Linked DNA regions of Diceros bicornis minor. The protein of the gene in region 1 interacts with the protein of each later gene in a pairwise test. Links are inferred from orthologs where the notes say so. Each region holds a gene or a part of one and is shown on either strand. Other genes may lie near its edges.

Region 1 (7,892 bases):
GGTGGAGTGGAGATGCGCCCCCACACCCCGTCAGGAAGGGCTTGCTGACCTCGGGTGGGGAGTGGCCACCTCCCCCCCACTTCCCGCTGCCGCACACCAACCCCACTTCAGCGTCTGCTCCTGAGAACCACCCATGACCACCGCCTGCTGGTGGCCAGAAAGGAAAGATGGGGCTTGGGGGCTGGAGGAGCCCAGACCAAGCCCATCCCTCTGCAGACCTGGAGTTGGAGAGAATGCACTGATGGGGACTTGTGCTGGCACAGACAGCAAGCCTGGCAAGTGTGTCACTGACAAGCCCTGGAAAGACCACTGAGGGCTGAGGCCAGCTCCACACCAGCAGCAGCTCTGGCCCCTACACAGAATGGCAGGGCCAAAGACCAAACCAGCATCACTAAGCTCAGAGCTCTGCAGGCCAGACTGGTGCCAGGAGGGCAGTCAGCCCTGGGCTTGCTGACAGCAAGTGTCACAGGATCCCCTACAACAGTTAACCACCAGAGCCTGGGGACAGCTAGGGGACAAAATGGAACATAGCACCCCTCAGAAAAGATAGATACACAAAGTGGGGACATATGAGGGACAGACCCACTGGGCGCGGGGCATGAGGGATGCAGCCACAGGTCTGGCGAGTCCACCCTCTATCCTAATCAGACCACCGGAAGCACCCGCATTCAGGAGCACCTTCGCCACTCTGCCCCAGCTCTCCTGCCTGTCACAAGACCCCAGGGACCTGGAACATCCACATTGACTCCTACGGCAAGGCCGTTCCACTAGCTGGGCAGGACTAGCCAGCGGTCAGCGAGCTGAAGGCCCTGGTGATGCATGTGTTCCAGGGGGTGGGAGACACCCGGGGAGACCCAGGCCTGGCAGCTCTGGACAATTCTTAGGGTATAGTGAGCAGGCTACCCCGACCCCAGCACAAGACAAGCTCTTGTATATGCATTTGCTACAAAAGAGAAACCCAACGCAGCCCTCCTGGGTCCTGCAGGCCATCAGTCCCGCACACAAAAACTTCTCCAGCCTACATACTAGGCAAGGTGAGGACAGTGGGCTGGCCGTCTTGGGGCTGACACAGGGAGCTGGCAGGCCCTACAGCGGAGGTCTCCGTGGCAGCAAGCCCAGTGAGACAATCACCAGGCAGCCCCTGGGGCCCCAGGGAGTGGCAGAGGACTTCTGGCATGCAGCTGGGCCCTGGCAGACGGATGCTGGAGCTGCCACCATACCCAGTGGATGTCAGGTGATGATCCAGCAGTGGTGGCAGCGACAGGAGAGCACACCTGGGGCTCAGTGTGAACAAGCCCAGGGGCACAGCAGGCTGCTCTGGCCCCACAGCACTCGCCACGCTCCAGACCCTGATGGCTGCATCACGTGTGGCCACGTGGGGGGATCCCACACAACCAGCAGAAAGAGGGAAGGGCTCAAGCTTGGCTTCTGGGTGGGCCCACACCAAAGGTCTCTTAGGTGTGGCCTAGAGGAACAGAACAGAAGTCCTCCCCGCGGCAGAGCGCCAGTGGTCCCCCTGGTCCCGCTTGTGTGGGCAGACGCGGCCCAAGGCTAGCATGCACACAGACCCATAGGCAGCAGCACACAGCCTAGATGAAGGTCTAGGGCAGACATGGAGCAGTGGACATGGGGAGTGAAGGTCCACCAGACATCTGCCGGGGACAAAATGACTCGACTGGCCCAATACAGTGCTGCGGTGCTGGACCACATGGGGGCCAGGGCCCAGGACGCAGCATCGGGGAACGGGGAGGGGAGTAAGAACTCCACTTCCCATCCCCCCAGTGACCCACAGGGGACTCCACTGCTCCTTCCCAGCTCTGGGCTCTACAGGGCTGGGGGTGTGGTCAGCACGCTCACCAGGTGCATGGCAGGAGACCTGCTGAGTCACAACCCCTGGCTGCCTCCTGGGCACACTGGACAACCCGTGTCCAGGGCCCAGCGGAGACCCCTCTCTGGCAGGAGGTAACTGACCCCATCAGCAGGAGGTGGGGCGCCCACTCCACAGCAAGCCAGAGAGCACATGAGGAACCCAGGGGACCACCAGAGAAGGCGACCTCAGCAGTCAGGGCTCAGCCCCTCATGATGAAACCATGGCACAGGCAGAAGTAGCAGTGCAGGGGGCCACAACCAGCTGCAAAGCTGGCCTGTGGTGTGGCTTGTCCCTCTCCTCCCTCTTCCAGCTTCCCCTCAGGAGGAAGCCCCAATCTTGGAGGAACTGCTCCCCAAGGCAAGGGCATGGATGCAAGCGTAGCACAGTGGGTGGTGGCCAACACAAGAACCTGCCACCTGCTGCAGCCTTGCTGCCCAGTGGCAGGCAGTGTACCCAGTGATCTGTCTCTACTTGGCTCCTGCAGGACCCACTTTGATCCACAGAGAGCCTCCTTACCAGATCACAGCTGCCCAGGGCAGCCCACCATGGTGACCCCCCAGGCAGTATGGAGTCCCAGCCAGCTTGGCCTGACAGTGGGCAGCTGTGAGCAGTTTTCCTCCAGGGCTCCCCACTGGGCCAGCCACAGTCCCTCTGGCCCCAGCACCCGAGCTGACCCCTCCCCCTGCCTAGTCCCATGTCCTCTTGGCTCCCTTCCCAGGTGCTGGTCACCAACACGAACCCTGCACCCCAACCTCCGTCTCAGCACCTGCTCTTGAGACCCTTGCCTGTGACACAATGGTGGAATCTGTTTCACTCCCCACACGGGTCTGGGGTTCGGACAGTAGGCTTGGCTCTTCCTCAGTCCAACTTAAATGGCCACAGGGAGCCTGTCAGTCACCTTTTGGCAACAGAATGGAAGCTGCTCTCTTGGCTAGAAATCAGAGCAAGAGAAAATGCTTTGGAAAAGGTGACTGGGTACCTACTGCTAGAGTCAAACCAGAAATGAGAACCAAGGCACTCAGTTCTAAACACATAGGCAACCAACAAGTACTGGGGCGGGCATGTCTGCACCAAACCCACCATGCCAATCCATTGGGACAGGGCTGCCTAGGGAAGGAGCTAGGTCTGTCCCATTCACCGCTAGACCCCAGTGTTGGGCACAGGCTGAGCTGGAGACAGACTCCAGTCTTGAGGTTTGGGGGGAGGAGCACCACACTGGGGTCTCAGAAATGCCCGAAACTTATATCAAAAGAGGATGCAGTTGCTGTGGGTCTCTGAGGACATCCTCCCGGATGGGGAAGAGACCACCACGGAGTACAGGTCCTAAGCTAGGATTGAAGGAGAGGGACCCAGCGGGGGAGACGCAGGCCCTGCTGGTGGGGCCGAGTACTGCAGGTGTGGTGCCTTCCCTACATCTGTTTCTTGGCCATCTTTTGTCTCGTCCTGGGGTGAGTAGCAACGACAATCTCTAAGCCAAAATGAACCAAGTGTGTCCTCACTGCTGGGGGAGGAGTGCGGGAACTGGGATAGGACTGGGGGGGTGCTCAGGAACAAAGTGGGTGATGGCGGCTGCTGACAGGAGGGAAGGAAGGTGAGCCTGAGGCTTTCTGAGGAGAGGAAAAAGCCCAGGGGTGCCACCTGGGCAGAAATGGCACAAGGGGCAGGCGGTACGCGGCATCTATCTTACCTTGTCCCACAGAGACTGCAGCTCTTCCTGCCCCCCTAAGTCCCAGAACAGGAGGCGAGCCTTTCCCACATCCACAGTGCCAACTGGGAGAAGAAAACAGGCAAGGCTGTGGCCTTGGTCCCTGACACACCATCTCCCAGCTCTCCGGGGGCAGAGGCCACTCTGGTGCTCCTCGAGGACCAGCCGACAGAGCTGGAGCAGAGGCCTCACACACAAGGCTCTGCTGCCTGCCTACTGGCCTGAGGACGTCACAGCATCCTGAGGGGTCTGCCCCCCAAACCCACAGCCCTAAGGGATCCCCTTACTGTTTAGACCCACGGTGGTGGTGATTTTGGATAGACTCATCCCCTTGTAGTTCTTGTTGAACCGGGTTTTTGACTGCTCCAGAAAGGTCTGCGGAGCAGGAAAGAGGCATTAGATAAGGACTAGAGATGTTTTCAAGTCTGTTTTGCTAATGTCTTTCCTTAACCCATTCCTTTAAAACAAAACAAAACACAACAACGTTTTGCTTTTAAAGCAGCTTGTGGTGACCATCCCGCGGCCTTAAATGGGGTTTGGATTCTGTCCAGGTGGTGGGCATACTAGTAAAGGCACAAACCAAACGGAGAGGGAGCGCAAGCACGCACCGTCTTCCCGGCATTGTCCAGACCCAAGATCAGGATGCAGTACTCGTCCTTCTGAAACATGTACTTGTACAGGCCCGACAGCAGCGTGTACATCCTGCCCTGGGCACCGCGAGAGACCAGTCACGACGCTCCGACCGGCGCCCGCCTGCCCTGCCTGCTGACAGCCCAGATCTGGTCCGGAGCACTCCCGACTCCTCCCGCCGCCCGTCCCTCTTCGGTCTCCCCACTCTGCCCTCTTCCCCGTAACTCTCTCCATCCCTCCGGACCGCCGGCTGGTGTCCTCGCCCCAGGGCGCTCCTCCTCCCCAGTCACCGCCGGGCCTCCCTCCGCTCCCCGAGCCTCAGGCCGGTCAAGGCCCCACGCCCTCCCGAGCCCCCCGGGCGCTCCCACTCCGGCCCGCAAGGACGAGCCACCCCTGCCCGCCCGGCCGGAGCCCGGGAAACAGCGGGAACCCCGGACGCCCGCCTCCGGGAGCCGGGTGCGTGTAGGGGGCGGCCTGGGGCGGGCAGATGGGGACAAGCCGCCCCGCCCGGGGCCCCGCCTCCCGACGCCCCGACCGGACACCGGCCTTCGGGGCCCGCCGGCCGGCCGCCGAGAGCTGCTCCGGATCGGCCGCCGGTCCTCGCCGCGACCTCGGACCCGCCCGGGAGGCGAAGAACCTGCCCGTCTACCTACGCCCGCCGGCCGCCGCGCCTGAGCCCGCGGACCGCTGACCCCGCGCGGCGCCCGACGGGACACGGGCCTGCTGTCCCGGCAGCCCCCACGCAGGCACTTCCGGTGGCGGCCGCGCTCGGCAGGAAGTGCGCGTTGGCGGCGAGGGCGGAAGCGGGACGCCGGGCCGCTCTAGCCGGTGAGGCGGCGGGCTCTCTATGGCCTGGCGGGGGCGCGGAGGACCGAGGGAGCCCGGCGGCGGCGCCCCGGGCGGGCAGACGCGGCGTGGGGCCGCGGCCGGGCTCCGGCTGTGGCTCTTCCGCTTGGAGCCGAGAGCCGTTCCCCGCCTGTCTTCTCGTCCCTGCGGCGGGACCGCGGGCGGCCCTGAGGGTGGCCTGGGGGCCCCGCGCCCGTCGGCTCAAGCTCCGCCGGCTCACCGGCTTCTCTCCCCGCAGCGCCGCCTCCGGAGGATCCGGGCCGACCCCCAGGATCCGGGCCGACCCCCAAGGACCAAGCCATCCCCCGAGGACCAAGCCATCCCCCGAGGTCCCGGGCCGCCTCCCCCGACGACCGAGCCGCCCCCCGAGGACCGGGCGCCCCCGGGATGGACGAGGACAGCCTGCAGGCCGCCCTGCAGGCCCACGGCGCGCAGCTGCGGCAGGTGGAGCGGGCCCTGCGCGCCGGCCTGGACGCCTCCGAGCTGGCCGACCTGCGCCAGCTGCAGCAGGACCTCAAGGAGCTGATCGCGCTCACGGAGGCCAGCCTGGTGTCCGTCAGGAAGAGCAAGCTGCTGGCCGCGCTGGACGGCGAGCACGCGGCCCGGGACGAGGCCGAGTACCTGGCCTTCCAGACGGCGGTGGCCGAGGCCGTGGAGGCGCCGGGAGCCCCGGGGGCAGAATCGGAGCCTGTCCCCGAGAGAGAGGCCGGGCCGGAGGAGGCCGGCGGGGAGGCCGGCGGGCTGAGCGGGCGGAAGGTGAGCGCGCCCTACCGCAGCCCCTGGGGCACCCTGGAGTACCACCACGCCATGGTGGTGGGCGCGGAGGCGGCGGCCGGCGGCTGCGCGGGCGTGCGCGTGCTCTATCTCTACCCCACGCACCGCGCCCTGAAGCCCTGCCCGTTCTTCCTGGAGGGCAAGTGCCGCTTCCAGGAGAGCTGCAGGTGAGCGCGGGCCGGCGGGCGGGCGGGCGGGCTCGCGGCGTGTCCTGGTCTGTGGTCTGTGTCTCCCTGGGTTCCCTCGGGTCAGTCGGGAAGGAGGCACCTTCTTCGCGGTGAGACCTCTGCAGTGTCCGTCCGTCGTGGAAACTCGCCCGCGCGAGGTTAGGGAGCGCGGCCGCCCGCGCCGTCCTTGCCGGCCGTCTCCTCCCGTCTGTCCTCCTGCCTTGGTTTTTTTTCCTTGGACTACTTTAAAGCGAATTCTGGAAGTTGCTAGTTTTTTCACCTATAAATAGTTAAGAATGCACCCCTAATCTAACTGACAAGGACGTCATAAAAAGGTCATCTCCGTGTCGCCGTTGCGCCCGACAGAGGGAACCGCAGTGCCCCGTCCCTGCTGACGTTTCCACGGCCCCTGTGACGGTGTCTTCTTTTTCTCAGGGCGCGACTTTGATTTTGCTCCTTCGTGCTTTGTCTTGAGAAGGAATATTGACTGAAATTTCTAGTAGATAATTCTCTTTTTTAGCCAATAGTCCAGGGTAACTGTCTCTAGCTCTTTGGTCGTGTTATTTCCTTATAGACTTTTGCAGGGTCCCAAGTCTTATCTGGTACGTCTCCCTTCCTTCCTTCTTTCTTTGTAAGTTTTATTAAAGAACAGCACACATACAGGTTAGCACGTAGATCATGAGGGGACTTGGAGAGCTTTCAGAGGAGACACAGCCTGTCCCCAGTACACATGTTAAGTAAGAGACGTAATGTTTCTATCCTTTTTTCCCTAGTCTCTGGGGGGCACGTCCACATGTGATGTCCCCTGTGGTGGTGAGAGCTGGCATGTCCATGTGCTGCTTCCTCTGGGACAGGCACTTTCCTCGAGTGTCACAGTATGGACTGTGTCTAGTGTCCCCACGAGGTGGCCTGCCACCACTCAGGGTGCATGGTTCCGAGGGGCGGAGCTGGGGCCCCAGCAGTCTGGCTCTGAGACATCCCCACTCGCCGTGATTTGCGCTGTCAGCTTTAGGCCCCACCGACACATCCTACACACACCCACCTCGCATTACTCAGCACTGCTAAGTTATTTACTTGCATTTGGTTTAGATTTTTAAAAATACAATAAAATAGACAATGTTGAAGCACTCTTTGACCACTCTCTGCTGCAGTCCCCTCTCTGTCCCGGGAGGCTGTCATTGTCACACTTGGGTGTGTATCTCTCTAGCGTGTGTTAGTTCTTTACAGGCATACGTGTGTCTGTAAGTGGTACATGTCTGTGCTTTGTTGTCTAAGTGGTGTCATACGGCAGTTCGTCCTGCACCTTGCTGTTTCCGCTAAGCGTGTTTGTGAGAGACCGCCGGGTTGATGTTTATAGAACTGTTTCATTCATTTTCACTGCTGTGTTATCTTCTTTCATGTGAATATACCACATTTTACTCACTCTGTCCCTTTCTGATGTTTTCCAATTTTTATTTGTTACAGTGTGCTGTGAACATCCTAATACTGTCTTCTTTTGTAACTGACGAGAATTTCCCTAGTGTGTAGCCAGCGTGGAGAGTGTGTGCAAATTTTCTGTTTTCATGTGATGTATGTTTCCTAGTCCCTAGTCTTCTCCACAGTCACCTGCAGTGACATTATCCGACTTGCAGATTTGTGCCTATTGAAAGCTGGGAAAATGGTGTCTTGACTGAATTTGTATTTCCTTGATTACTGGCGAGATTGAGTTTCTTTTCATATATTTGTTGTAACTTAATCTCTATATTTCAGTCTCCTTATCTGTAAAACAGAGATGAGAATCATCTTTCACAGTTGTTGGGAGAATGGAGTGCGTTAATATGTGTCAAGAGTGTAGAGCAATACCTAACATACAGTTAAGCACACAGTAGATTTTTAGTTCTTACGTTGTTATTGTAAAATA
Region 2 (7,888 bases), on another chromosome or scaffold:
CTCAGCAGGTTGAAGGGAATTTAGGGATTCAAGACTTTTTGGGTATATCAACCTAAATGTCCCCATCCCCTGTGTCAGAGTCCCACCCTTTCCCAACCAGGGCCCTAACCTTGACATCATGCCTGCCTAAGTGGTGAGTTTAACCTTCTTTAGAAGTTCCCACTTGGTTTTCTGCTACTGTTATATTTAAGTCCTGGGACCGGTCCTCAGTTTTCTCTGTCTTCCCACTGCAGGAGATGAGAACCTCTTCACACGCTCCCCAGAAGGTCTTCTGGTTTTCACACTTAGCTTTGAATTGCAGATTAATCACTCTCAGCCTTTCATTACCTCCCTCCAAAGTATCAATTCTACATAGCAATAGCCGTCAAATTCCAATGTGCTTATAGTTACTCTTTCCCCCATAATTTGAGAACAACGCATGCTCTTTCGCTGCACACCACATGCTCTTTCCCACAGCTGAAACTTTTAACAACTGCCCTGCTTTCTTGTGGTAGCTATATTCTACCTGCCACCACTGATTCCTTGTGGGCCAGCAACCAGTGGCCAACCCCCAAATCCAGTCATAGTGTCTGCTTTCTTGGACCATTCCTGGCACCAAATCTTTTAGGTTGAGTTCCATGAAAAGTACACATGAGGAAAAGATTAGGATTCACGAAGTTTATTAAGGAGTCCACAACGATCAACACCAGTGGAAGGGAAGAGATGAAGGCAGGATCAGACAGAGGGAAAAACTGTGCTGTGATGCTATTGTATAATAAATGATTTGACTGGCTTTTGTCCTCGGTTCCTGAGAGGTAACTTTTAAACCCCTGTAATTTCCCAAGTGATAGGAGTGTCTTTGTTATTTATGGTGGGTCTTTGGACCACATCTGAGTTTATGCTACTGAAACGATTCAGGATGAGGGCTGGTCATGTGAGAAAGATCAACCATGTGATTAAAGGGTTGAAGCTTTGAGCCTTGTGATATCAGCCTGACTTCCTGACCTCCAGCGAGGGGAAGGGGGCTGGTGATTGAGTTCAATCATAGGGCCAATGATTCAATCAATTATAGCTAGGTAATGAAACCCCAATAAAAACTCTGGATACTGAAGCTCAGTGGAACTTCCTGGTTTCTGAACATGTTGAAGTGCCAGGAGGGTGACATATCCTAATTCCACAGGAAGAAGATACAGAAGCTCTGTGTTCAGGACCCTCCCAGATCTCACCCTATGTGTCTTTTCATTTGGCTGGTCCTGATTTGTATCCATAATAATAAAACTGTAATCACAAGTATAGCACTTTCCTGAGTTCTGTGAGTCATTCTAGCAAATCAGTGAACCTGAGGGACTTGTGGGAATTTGTAGCCAGTTGGTGAGAAGGGTAGGTGGCCTGGGGACTCCTGAACTTGTGGATGGCATCTGGAGTGAGGGCAGTCTTGTTGGGGACTGTGCTCCCAACTTGTGGGGTCTGAGCTACCTCTGGGTGGTTAGTGACCAAACTGCATTGCAGTATAGAAGATACCATTATAACAATGGCCTGAGATGATCCCACAGAGAGCTCTGATGCTCTGAAGCTCACAGTTGTCCCAAGCTGGGGAGAGGGGCTAGGCGCTTATACCTCCACAATATATTCAGACTGCCCTTGGGCAGCTCTCTTTAGCCAATGAAGTTTTTGAAGGGAGCTGACAGCTGAAGGTTGTCTGCAGGTAGCACTCCCAGGAAGTGAGGGATGTTTTTCATTCTTGAAGCAGGATTTCCATGCCAAGTCACAGTGCCGACCGCACTTTGTAACTATTTCTATCTATTAAATGGTAGAGTGAGGATAGGGTGATTAAAAGCAGTAGTGGAGATTCTTTTGAATTTGTAAGCATTTTGCAGCTGAAGAGAATTCAGAGTGAGATTGGTGGGATGATCCTGGCAAATTCTCATGAGTGATCATATCGTTGTCCTACTTAAACCCTTTTGATGTCTTCTTATTGCTCTTGGGAAGGATAAACTCTTAATATCCTTAGCAGGACTCCTCAGGCTCTGCATGATACGGCCCCTTCTTGCATCTGCAAGATCATGTCATCTTCATCTCATTGCACTCATGTTGTTCTGTCTATGGATTGCACCTGACTTTTTAAAGTCTCAGGGCCTTTGCACAGGCTGTGCCCTCTGCCTGGAATGCTTTCCTTCCTCTTCACCTGACGAATTTGTACTCATTTTTTAGGTCTTTGTTTAAATGTCCCTTTCTCAGAGAGGTCTTCCCTAACCCTCACTCTGGATCAGGGCCACCTGTTATATGCTCTCATAGCACCTGTCCCCTTTAGATGGCCTTTTTAGCACTTATCTGAGCTGTAACAATGTAGTTATGTGTTTCATTGTTTCATGCCTGTCTCTGTCCCTCTGATAAGTGCCATGAAGGCAGGAACTGTGGCTATTTTGTTCTTTCCTCTCTCCCCAGCTCTTAACTCAATGCCTGACATGGGGATTTAATAAATATTTGGTGAGTGAATAAGCAAATGAAGTAATTAAAGGATAGATAGTAGTGATACAGGGTAGTGGTTAATAGTGTGGCTCTGGAGTCTTACTGGATTCAAATCCTTTAAATCTTGACTTGTCCATCGAAAGCTGTGTAAATGAGTCCTCCCCTTGGACAACGTAGAAACTTCAGTTTATCAGTTCACACTGAGTTCGTCAGATTGAGGGAACTTATCCTCAAAAACCTCGGAGAATAATGTGGAATAAGAATACCTATTCATCATCAGCGGCACAGCGTAGCACTTAAGCACACAAACTATCTGAGATGAATCCTAGAACTGTCATCTTTGCCACAATACTTGGCATTTTTGTACAGCAGTTTCCTCACCTGTAAACGAGTGTCAAAGTTGTTGTAAGGATCAAATAGGTTAAAATATATAAGAAACAGTGTCTGGTACCCAGTAAGTGCTTTCTATGTGTTTGCCATAATCATTATTGTTTATTAATTTAGGTTGGGAGACACCTCTGGCTTGACACCTAGAGCTGGTTAGCTGCATAAGACATTTTCTCTATTTGAATAAATTCATGCCACAGACCAAATAACAGATCAGAGGGTTGTCTAATAGACAAAAAGTAAGAGTAAAGGAAATATTCTCTGGTAACATTTCCAGGAAGCTGTAGGGGACCTTGATGGATGGTTCTTCTCTGCTATAGGGACAATTCTGCCTGAAAATCCAGAGTAAGTCATCTAGACCTCAGGGAGTGTGAACATCCTGGCAGATTCTGGCCCTTGGTTCCCCTTGTTGTAGATTCCAGAAAGGGCACTATCCTTTGGTAAATATGGCCTTTCTTCAGTCATTCAGGTTACACCAAAATTGATTAGGTTACACTTTTCTTTAGATATACCCTAAGCCCAAGGAGGAAGTCTTATTACTCTGATTTCAGTTCCTCCTTTACCAAGTCTCCCTGCTGATGCCTCTTAGGGTGGGGGCACTTCTGCAGGTAGAATTCTAAACTTTTCCCTCATTATTTTGCCAAAATTTTAGAGTACTTTATAGAAACCCTCAAACTGGGAATCTGGAGACCTGGGACTGGCATAGAGTGAAATCTGGATTTTAGTTCTGACTTTGACACTAACTTGCTGCATGAACGTGGGCATGACCTAGGGGCTCAGGTTTTCTTGTATGTAAAATGTTGCAGAAAATCAGCTGGAAATTCTTTTCCAGGTTTACAATTCAGCGATTATGCATCATGATCTCTGACTAAAGTCAGTATACATACTGTTAATGTACATTTAGGGTAGAAAGTAGCAGTGAATATTTTACGTGAAAATATTCACTTTTCTTCGCACTGACTTTGGAATGTGGATTTGCTTCAAAAATAAAAACCCTCTTTATCAGTTGCAATATTAAAGTTGTATTTAACCTTAGCGATTGCAGTTCTGAGGACTTGATAAGAACCTGAATATGGTCTTCCAGGGTAGCCAAACAGCCATTTCATGAACTACACAGATGACCCAGCTTGGGCTGGTCCACAGATCTTTTTCTTGTGCATTTCTTCTGGGAATGATTGCAACTGAGCAAGCAAATAGGTTCCGGTTGGAGAGATCCACAAAAATCATGTCATCTTACCCCATCACTTTGCTATGGCTTTAAGGACAGCCCTAATGGCTGTGTGACTTCTTAATCTCCCTCAGGCTTAGTGTCCACATCTATAAAATAACACCTACCTTGCAGGGTTCCTGTAACAATGAGGACAGAGCTCGGGTTAACACTGTGAAAGCCCATAATAGGCACACAGAAAAAAAAAAGCTTATTATGCCCTTACTGTCAATTTTCTTTATTCCAATAAAAATTACACCAATGTTGACTGCATGTTGCCCGTGGTGGGTAAAATAAGGCCAAAATGGATTATGGCAAGTCTTGAGATTTTTCTCACCTTAGTTTCTTAACTGCAATTGAGAGCATCTGGTCAGTGGCTGCAAGTTCTAGATCTGGAGTTATAAAATAGTTGGGTTCCAATCCTGGCACTCTGTCCCTTATCAGTTGTGTGATCTTGATTAGTTTCTAAACCTCTCCGGGTCTCAGAGTCCCCTAAAGCCAGGGTAATACAGACAGATAGGACTACACTTCCCCGCCTCTCAATTTCCTAAAACAGAGGTGCGCGAAGGCTCACGCCACCGAGCAGCTCCTCAGACGGCGGAAAGCACCCGAAGGAGGGCGGGCCAAAGAAGCCACAGGCGAGGCGGGAGTTCCCGCCTCCTATGCGTGCGCGCGCTACGCGCGCACGCAGAGCACGCTCCGGAAGCGCGCGCGCGCAGGCCCAGCCCTCGTCGCCGCCGCCATTTTAGCTCCTGGTTCCGGCCGCACGGTGTAAGCTGTTGTAGCGGGAGGGGTGGGGGGGGTCCTCCGGAGTTAAGTAGCTGCCCTCGACTGCGCCCATCCAGCCGCCAGCTTCTCTTTTTGTCTTTCTTCTCGACCGTCCGCTCGAAGAGTCCGAAGATGTCCAAGCGGCACCGGTTGGACCTGGGGGAGGATTACCCCTCCGGCAAGAAGCGTGCGGGGACCGATGGGTAAGCCAGGCCGGGGGCGCGAGGCAGCGGCTCGGGCTTTGTTGGGGTCCCGGCAGGGAGCGGGCCAGGACCGGCCGGGCCGAGCGGGCCCCGGAGCCCGACCCTTTGTTCCCTCTGGGCTCGGCTCAAGGCGGCGGGTCGGGGACAGCGGCGCCACTCCCGACGTTCGCCCGGCAAGGGCGCGGGATGTGTGGCGCGGCCGCCGCCCGGCCCAGTCGGGAGCGGGTGAGGCCTGCTGTGGCCACGAGGACGCCTCCTCCCCGGGCCGAACCAAGCGGCAGTCGCTTCGAGGGGAGCGGGCGGGAGGGAACCGCGGACCGCGTGGCCTGGCTTCCCGGGTAAGGCTTGGGGCCGGCGAGCAGGGTGGGGGAGGGCGCGGCGGGAGTATTCACTTCCAAGGACACCAGGTGCTCCTCAGGCAGAGGGGCCGGGGAGAGGGCCTCGACGGGCGGCTGGGGGGCCAGCAAGGGAAAGACGGGGGCGGAAAGTGAGAGAAGCGCTTGGATTCTCGTGAAGGCTGGGATGGGGGTGGCGGGAGTTGAGTGAGGCGTGCAGACCAGGAGTTCTCGGGGGAAGGGAGAGTCGAGGGCCTGCCGGGAGAAAGGAAAACGTGGAGTATACCTGATGGGCTGGAAGGCTGCTGGTTTGGAGCCTCTGAGTTTATAGTTTGGCGGGAGACCGCGTGCCTCGGTCCATTCAAACACTTCAAAGAAGATACTAGGCAAACTTCCGCTCTCTGCCTATGCTCCCGCCATCTCCTTTATTTCCTGCTTTGGCTAAAACAGTGGTTTCGGAGGATCTCTGGGATAAGCGTTAGAAGGCATTCATTTTTTCCAATAAGTTCTTGTTTTCTAACCCCCCACCCCCACCCACGTTCATAACCATCTTTTGAAACCCGATGCTTTTCTAAAATGTTTCTGGTATTTATGGAAAAATAGCGCCCTTGGGGAGGTTGTGAGTTGAAATACTCAGACTCGTAGTGTTTCAGATTCCTTTCCTTGAGCGTTTCCTTAAACGTACAGGGGAATTTAACAATTGACTTGAGCAGTTGCATCAGAATCTTGTCTTCTCCGGTATATGTGTTCATTCCTGAAATAACAGAGATTTATTTGGATAACTCAGGCAAAAATAGAAAAGTCTGAACATCCAAATACTTAGCATAATTTTATCATTTTATTGTGTGTGTACGTGTACAGAATCACTGTGTTAGGTCGTCTGTGTAACTTTTATATGAGTTTTTGTTCACCCAAAGTCCTTCATTTGGGTTGATTTCCAGGTATTTGTTTAATGTCGAGAGTATAAGCTGAGATAGAGTGTACTTTTTGATACCTTCCTATGTGTTGAATATGGAGAGCAACAGTATGTAACATTTTAGCCTTGTAAGGTTTTTAGTTTTCAATGTTAGACATTAGTTTTCTCTCTCTTAGGCTGTCTCCTCTCCCACTCCAATACTTTAGCTCATTTGAGCTACACTCACAGACTCATTAGAGCTGGAAATGACTTAGAAATGGAGACTCAGAGTTGTTAAGGTGGCTTGTGCAAATTTACGTGGTTTACAGCTGGATCTAGAACCTTGATCTTTTCATATTCACTCTTAGCCTCTTGCTTTTTCCATTACAGCACACAGTCTATGACTGTAGTTAAGAGTCATTACAGCCGATTTTAATGACATTTAGAATGGGTTGTTAAAGTAGGGAACACTTGGTTCTTGGTTTCTGTGAAGCAAAAATAAATTGCTTGTCTGCTGGCTAAGATGCAACTGATAGCTCTCACAACAGTTAAGATTGGAACAAAACATGCTGGGAAGGAATGAATTCACTAACTCATAAATGTGTGTATGTGCACCACTTAAACGCTTTTTTGGGATTGGTGGTCCCATATGTATGTGGGCTTGCTCGCTTTCTCTTGCAAAACAGATATCCTAAGTAAAAATGTGGACTTTTTAGACCTTATGATTCTCTTGGATATTATGTGGCATCTACCTGTAGGTGAAGGAGAGTTCATCTTTGGAATAAAGTCCGAGTTCTGAGGTTCTGGAGGGAAGTTTGTATACTCAGTTCTATGTCACTTGAATGTCATTTCTCATAGAACTAATTTTCTTTAGCACTGGGCTTACAATGTTTATTAGTGTTCAGGTCTTTTTTTCTTTAATATTTGATAATTTAAGAAGTCGCTTTCGCTGACTGCCATGCAATCTTGCAAGTTTTGTTTTTGTTTGTTTTTTAAGTCCTGGTAGTTAGCAGGTGGTTTTTACTGAGAGGGTAGGCTTGTTGGTCTTGTGAACTCCACTGCCAAACACTGCTGTCCCATTTCCCCAATACTGAGAGGGGAAGGTAATTCCTTGGGAGATTTCACTCATATTCAAGCTCCCAAACTATATATGGCTTTATTTATTCCTGATATATTTTAATTTTGGGGTCAGGTAGAGAAGTTAAAGGTTTCTGTTATATAGTGACCTTATTCCTTTTTCTATCATCCCACAAAATTTTCCATATAAAATTATTACCAAAAGACAACTTACTAGTGAAGTATGGAAAAAACTTTGAAAATATACTGTGCTCCTGAAACTATTCTAGGTGCCTTATGTGTATAAGCACATTTTCACTACATTCTTGTGATGTAGGTAGGTGATGTTAAGTAACTTGACCCAGGGAACGCAAGAAATGTCCATACGCAAAGATATAAAGGAAAAGGCAAAAAATTTCTTGAAGTCTTTGTGCTTATGCTTAGTCCCTTGAGGAACATTTTTTTAGATCTCTGCATTTTATTCACAAATGTGAACTATCATAATATCAATGGGTTATTTCAATATGTGTTGTTTTGTGCTTTGATTTTTATTCACTCAGAAATATGTTATCACCTGTAGAATAGATAT

What was found. The genes of interacting proteins can lie anywhere in the genome.
Region 2: the proteins of ZGPAT (region 1) and DHX15 interact in binary tests that used the Homo sapiens proteins (3 or more experiments, as listed by UniProt). The two-hybrid records come from large-scale screens. The link is inferred for Diceros bicornis minor from reciprocal best matches to the Homo sapiens genes ZGPAT and DHX15.

Annotation. Positions count from the first base shown.
Region 1 is NC_080758.1:499,969-507,860, reverse strand, and holds the start of ZGPAT (zinc finger CCCH-type with G patch domain-containing protein), read left to right. Parts: upstream 1-4,887; 5' UTR 4,888-5,033; intron 5,034-5,289; 5' UTR 5,290-5,438; coding exon 5,439-5,992; intron 5,993-7,892. Other genes in the region: ARFRP1 (ADP-ribosylation factor-related protein 1), read right to left, coding at 3,558-3,640, 3,863-3,950, 4,184-4,439. UniProt on the Homo sapiens protein: Transcription repressor that specifically binds the 5'-GGAG[GA]A[GA]A-3' consensus sequence. Represses transcription by recruiting the chromatin multiprotein complex NuRD to target promoters.
Region 2 is NC_080747.1:19,849,676-19,857,563, reverse strand, and holds the start of DHX15 (ATP-dependent RNA helicase DHX15), read left to right. Parts: upstream 1-4,845; 5' UTR 4,846-4,942; coding exon 4,943-5,013; intron 5,014-7,888.